2 linked regions of the Danio rerio genome follow. The protein of the gene in region 1 purifies or fractionates together with the protein of each later gene. This does not show direct contact. Links are inferred from orthologs where the notes say so. Each region holds a gene or a part of one and is shown in the gene's direction. Other genes may lie near its edges.

What was found. The genes of interacting proteins can lie anywhere in the genome.
Region 2: the proteins of c1d (region 1) and mphosph6 purify together in Homo sapiens (co-immunoprecipitation; 3 studies listed by BioGRID and IntAct, counting the BioPlex papers as one, with this or other methods). This does not show direct contact. The link is inferred for Danio rerio from reciprocal best matches to the Homo sapiens genes C1D and MPHOSPH6.

Annotation. Positions count from the first base shown.
Region 1 is NC_133188.1:5,050,394-5,054,330, forward strand, and holds the start of c1d (nuclear nucleic acid-binding protein C1D), read left to right. Parts: upstream 1-1,137; 5' UTR 1,138-1,658; intron 1,659-1,713; exon of another isoform or gene 1,714-1,941; intron 1,942-2,103; exon of another isoform or gene 2,104-2,190; intron 2,191-2,830; exon of another isoform or gene 2,831-3,203; intron 3,204-3,652; 5' UTR 3,653-3,662; coding exon 3,663-3,800; intron 3,801-3,883; coding exon 3,884-3,937. UniProt on the Homo sapiens protein: Plays a role in the recruitment of the RNA exosome complex to pre-rRNA to mediate the 3'-5' end processing of the 5.8S rRNA; this function may include MPHOSPH6.
Region 2 is NC_133200.1:38,538,585-38,541,592, reverse strand, and holds the end of mphosph6 (M-phase phosphoprotein 6), read left to right. Parts: intron 1-316; exon of another isoform or gene 317-368; coding exon of another isoform or gene 369-415; coding exon 416-506; intron 507-861; coding exon 862-971; intron 972-1,667; coding exon 1,668-1,809; 3' UTR 1,810-2,508; downstream 2,509-3,008. UniProt on the Homo sapiens protein: RNA-binding protein that associates with the RNA exosome complex. Involved in the 3'-processing of the 7S pre-RNA to the mature 5.8S rRNA and play a role in recruiting the RNA exosome complex to pre-rRNA; this function may include C1D.

The DNA of each region.
Region 1 (3,937 bases):
ATTATATTAATATGATATAATATACTATAAAATATTTTATATATTACACTTTAATACATTTTCTGTGTTTTGAAAGAACATTTGTGATAAACTGTAATTTCATTCATTCATTTTCCTTCAGCTTCGTCCCTTATTTATCAGGGCTTGCCACAGCGGAATGAACCGCCAACTATTCCGGTATATGTTTTACGCAGCGGATGCCCTTCCAGCCTCAACCTAGTACTGAGAAACACACTCTCACATTCACACACACTCATACACTACGGCCAATTTAGTTTATTTAATTCTCCTATAGCGCATGTGTTTGAACTGTGGGGGAAACCAGAGCATCTGGAGGAAACCCACACTAACACCGGGAGAACATGCAAACTCCACACAGAAATGGCTTAGCTGGGACTCGAACCAGCGACCATCTTGCTGTCAGGCAACAGTGCTAACCAATGAGCCACCATGCCATCCAAACTGTAAATTTATATATATATATATATATATATATATATATATATATATATATATATATATATATATATATATATATATATATATATATATATATATACAAATAAATTTTGTTATAATAATGTATTACACTACATTTTGATTTTATGATAAAACTTTTAATGAACTGTAAATTGTAAATATAACATATAATATAATATAATATAATATAATATAATATAATATAATATAATATAACATAATATAATAAAGTACAATAATAATTTATATATATATATATATATATATATATATATATATATATATATATATATATATATATATATATATATATATATATATTTATTTATTTATTTATTTATTTATTTTTTTTTTTTGGGGTGAAATTTTTTTGTGACCTGTATTTATAACATCCTTATATTTTTATTATTTTTATATATATATATATATATATATATATATATATATATATATATATATATATATATATATATATATATATATATATATATATATATATATATATATATATATTCACAAATAGTTGTGAATGTTTCCAGAATAGAGTTCTTGCAAATTACCTCTTCAGAGATAAAAAGCAAAAAACTTGTTTTAAATATTATTTTTACATGGTTCATATTATAAATGAATGATTTTATTAATAAAACTTGAAATGGCACATGGATTGAGTGTGTTGCATCTTATAAATATTCAGATGTCTGGCTTTAGCGTTAGGATTTTATTTTCTTTTAAAAAACTTTTTTTTTCCTTTGAAACTCGAAAAATGTTTAAAACTATAGAGATTGTTAATTAATGGATTAATGAGTGATGTTCCTGTAAACAAAAAATATATATATTAGGAAATAAAAAATGTAATTAAAAAGTAATTAATTGCTAATTACATCATTGAAAATTTATTTAGATTAGATTTCTATTTAATTTGTCTGAATAATGATGTATACACATAACTTAAATTAACTTATTGAACATTATTTGTATAAAACGCAATGGAGTCATACTTCATAAATACCATGTATTTCTGTCAGTAAATAATGTATTACTTATTGTTTCTTCCGCATGTGAAGTGGTTAAACAAATAAAACTTCCATAATTGATAGTAGAACAACAACAACAACAACAACAAACTCCTGAAAAAAATCTTCTCTGAATTGATTTACAGCACTCAAGGAAAGCACATCGTGAGTAACTTTATTAAATAACCAAAAAAACTATTTTTTTCACGAAATTGGATATGTAATTACAGTTACTAGTTACTTTGTAGTGTTTTGCGCTTGTCGTCAGAGAAAGAGAAAGGAAGTAACTTATAGGAGAGTGTGTTTTTTTATGTGTGACAAAATCTGTACAACCAAGAAAACAAATGTGACTCAACGTTTAGCTACAGTATTACAGTATGTATTAATAACAATAATAATACACGTAACTTACAGCTGTTAAACGGCTTTAACGACAGTATCACTACAGGTAACGTAGAAGTCTCGTGTTTATACGATATCGCTATCAGCTGACTGTACATGACTTTTATAAATGTATATCAAGTTATTCATTCAAACCTGACAGAAAAGACTGAACTGTAATAACAGCGTAACGACAACTTTAACTGAATATTCACGTAGGTATACTCACCAATAATTTATTTTTAGCTAAATTCATCTTGTAGAAGCTCCTCAGATAAACAATAACAGTAGGGAGGATGACCGTTTTGAGAAGTACACAACAACACATTAGTGTACTGGACTCTTGCCAAACATGAATAGCACTACTTCAAATTAAAAGTCTCGTGACACGTTAAAAGGCATGTAAGCAAAGCAGGGGATTTCTCAAAGCACCTGAAAATCAATAAAGAAAAAAAGGCTCAGTAAGTGAATTAAAAAGGAAAAAAATATATATAATATATTATATATATATATATATATATAACAACGTACTAATTTTAACTAGATAGATAGATAGATAGATAGATAGATAGATAGATAGATAGATAGATAGATAGATAGATAGATAGATAGATTAGATTTTCAGACTTATCTTTAATGAAAGTTAAATTGAATAACTTTTGTTAATAACTAAATCTACCATGCATTAAACTGTATATTTGTATGTAATCTGATATGTACCCTCTCCTCCTTTTTAGTTAATATTTTTATTTATTTAAATGTTTTCTTTTCTCTTTTAATCCTTCTTGTTAACGAATGTGAAATGATTTTGTTGCACAATGAAAATAACAAAAAACTGTGCAAGTTTAAACTGACCCCCAGTCCGTTAGGTGGCGATAATGCTAGTCGCCATTAAAGATAAAGAAAAATAAATGTTTTTCGCGTGACTTTTATTTTGAAAAACAAGTGTATTGACCGTCGCTTATTTATTCTTGGCTCAACGGAGAGGTATTGATGTGTGCTTGATTACATTATAGCTCTCTTAAACAACCTAAACGAACTTCATATGTAATTTTACGTTGATTTTGTGTTTAGTAAGCTGTCTCAGGGTTTTCTTTACAACACAGGACAACAAGTGTGCGATTATAACTCGCAGACACTGAACACGTGCATAAAGCTTAATCTCCATATTGTCGCTCATGCTGAATTTGCACAGTTGTTAGAAATATATATGTATTGTACTTCTTATTAATTTGGTAACTTACTGCTTTTTAATATGTATCTGCTGTCCACAACTGAATTCTGAAGCATTTTCCCTCGTTTTCCTAACAGCCAAATATCGATTTTTAGGTAAAGTTGGGGTTATATTCGCACATTAGTTCATTTTTAACAGTCTCTACATAGTTCGCCATGTTACTTTAAATATTCGGTCTGAAATCTCATTTAAGTATGACTTCAAGTTCAAAACAACATTTGCACGATTTAACTTGGTGAACAATGTTGTATTTTGAGAGTCATTGGCTGATAATGTGATCTCCCTATTTAGAAATAGCAAATAATATTTTTCTGAAAATATATTATTAAGAAGAAAGTCTGAATGTGTGAATAAAAAAACAACTTTACCTCAATAATATTGACTACAAATCCCCAAAAATAACAAAACGGTTTAATTTAGCAGTTATGCTTAGATCCGTCATTTCAAAACGCATATTAATTACTGTTTTTTTAGGCCAAAGTTTGCAGGAATCATGAATTATCTTAAATGGTTTTTATTAATATATTCTTATGTTACCATTCAGCTGACAGACCATGGCTGATGATGCTGCAGTAGAGGATTATCCCACTGAAATCGAAGACAACCTGAATGATTTCGACTCTTCTTTGAGCTCTGTCCAGAATATGGTCCAGACACTGGTGTCTGTATCCAGAAGTGACCGTCTGCTTAAAGTATGTATAAAATGTTTATATGAAAAGCTGATAAATGAAAATGGCTTAACTATCATGTTTAACCTGTTTTTTACTTCATAAAGTTGGATCCTCTTGAACAAGCTAAACTGGATCTGATGTCGGCATACGCCCTCAAC
Region 2 (3,008 bases), on another chromosome or scaffold:
ATAGACTAAATATTATTAAAGAAAAAAACGCACGTCAGTGATATGGGAATATTTTGTTCACAGACACCAAACAAAAAAAGGTTATTTGTAAGAGCTGCCGCAGGATTGTTGCAGGCATGAGGAAATACAACCAGTACCTAAAATGTCTACAATATTAAATTGCAAATCAAATCTAAATATCTGTTAAAAAAATTTTGCAATTAAGATATTTTCCCCAAATTGCACAGCCCTAGCATACAGCGTTTGAACCAGGACACTTTAAAATGAAAGTCCTAATGCATGTACCCCATTAAAAATGATTCTAGTTCTAATGCAGTCTGACATTAGCAAATATTCGTTGCCTTATGGATATCTGATGGTTTATCAAAATGTCTCTTAAATTGACAAAATTACAAGGTATTTTTAACTTTGCCAGAAACCACATCATCGAGGAGAGAAGTTTCGTTCCCTGTGAGGATCTGGTTTACGGCAGAATGTCATTCAAAGGCTTCAATCCTGACGTGGAGGTACAGCTTTCATCCGTTTACAGCCGTTTGCTTCCGTTTTGTTAACTGTTCTCAATTATTGTGTTCACGTTATTGGAGCATAATCTGAAGAATAAGCTAAAGGCACAATATGTATGATTTTATTTGTATTAACATATTCAAAAGCCACTTGAACAGTTTATTATATCTTTATTTTTCACTCAGTCATCAAAACACACCTTTGTTTGTTGTGAATACACGCCCTCTAGTGGCTAAATTTACATACTGTGCCTTTAACAATGAGCTGAAAATGCACGTCTTGCTCTAATTATAGCCACTGATAGCCACCTGTAATCTAAAGTGGGGTTTATTCATCACAAGTCTGAATCTGTTGCAGAAATTAATGTTACTAATGAACGCACCAAGAGAGGAAGAGGATGAAGAAGAGGAGGACGAGAGCATGAACAAAATGGAAACCGATATTACGGATGAAGAGATGGCCAAAAGGTGAGCAAGGACAAATACATCTGTAATCTACACATCTGTTATATATATATACGAGGATAGTGATGAAATGAAGCGTCTAAACAATTTTACCAATTACTTCGCTAAAGCAATTCGAAACCGCACATGCTAGAAACCCCTGCTGGTCAACACTCAAACAAAAGATGCATTAGAATTGACTCCCAAACATATTAAAATTGAAAGTTTAACCTATAAATAAACTTGGCTCGTCATCTAAGATCATTAAATGTTAAGTCTCTGCATAATGTTCTTTCATTTAGATGTTTTCAAGGCTTATATATTGCTTGTTAAACTGCTAAACAGGCCAGGAGGAGACTATTAGCTACTTTTAACCATTACTCCTTTTCATTTTATACACATCTCCTTAAAATATTTAACAAAATTTGTAAAACTAATCCGAGATCAATCAGTGAAACCTGTTCAGTGATTGGCCACTGGGGGGCGACCTGAATGAATCTGCGTGATTCTTGTAGATTTTATATTGCACAGATCGCCCCCTTGTGGGGAAGCAATTTCGAAACCATATTGACCATAACGAAGCTCAATTTGAATGAAATCCTGTGACCTTGCCAATTGGAAATGCGCACCGAAACCACTGGTTCGAAACAAAATTGTAATGGTTTCGAATGTGGACATCACCAGCAGATGAAAACCTTGATTTTTGCTTTTGTTTTACAGGTATCAAAGTTTGGTTGAGAGCATGAGGAAAAAGTTCGCCAAGAAAAGAGATCGCAGTGCTGTCTCAAACAAAGAGGATGTCAACTGCAACGTCACTGATGATATTAGACCCAAACGAGCTTTCATGAAGCCACAGGACTGAGACATTTTAAATCTGTAAATGCTTTATTTTTTATGCAATGGACTTCTTTTTTTATTAGTAGTATTTTTTTCTGTTTGGTAACAACAAATGCATTGTTAAAAGACTGTCTTTTATGGGAAAAGCACTAGTGGATGGTGCACTAAGGGGTTTTTTGACAATTAAATGTACCATCGTTGAAAAGCGTAGTAGATCCTGACCAGAGTTTCTTAACCAATTCTTTAAAAAATGATGTGTAGAACTTCCATGTTGTTTTTAAATAATCATTAAGAGAGAATCACATTAATGACACTTAACCAATATGCTGTTTAGACGATATGCTGTAGAGTGAAATCTGCTCTCTCACAGAAACAATATATTCATGAGTCAGAAAGTCAGATTGATGAGATTGTGTTGGAAATGTTAAAAAAAGGTTATTCATAGTGTAAAAAAGACTGCAGAACTTACTATAGCATAATTCAACATTCGAACAGTTATTTAATATTGACATTGCACGACTATCTGGGGTCAAAATCCATTGCTGCTGTGTTCACATTGTATAATGGATCAGTGACAGGAAATTACGCACAGCATGACTTTACAACAGGGAAAAAAAAACGCTGATAACTCTTTCTCCCCAATCACCCCAATGACATACAGTGCATTTAGACAATATTGATAGCGCTTTTTCCACTTTTTATGTCACAGCCTTATGCAAAAATGAATTAAATCAATTTATTTCCTCAACATTCTACTCACAATCCCCCAGAATGACAATGTGAAAAAGTTTTTAAAATTGTTGCAAATTTATTGAAAATAAAAAAGCTGTAAAATCACGTGTACATCAGTATTCACAGCCTTTCGCTGAACCTCGGCCATGTAAGCTGAGTGATCGGGGGAGAATGGCCTTAGTCAGGGAGGTGATCAATAACCCGATGGTCACTCTGTCTGAGCTCCAGCGTTCTTCTGTGGAGAGAAGAGAACCTTACAGAAGGACAACTATCTGTGCAGCAATCCACCAATCAGGCCTGTATGGTAGAGTGACCAGACGGAAGACACTCCCCGCCTGGAGTTTACCAATGTGAAGGACTCTCAGAGCATCAGAAACTAAACTCTCTGCTCTGAGACTAAAATTGAACGTCATGCTGTGGGGATGTGTTTCAGCAGCAGGAACTGGAAGACTAGTCAGGATAGAGGGAAAGATGAATGCAGCGATGTACAGA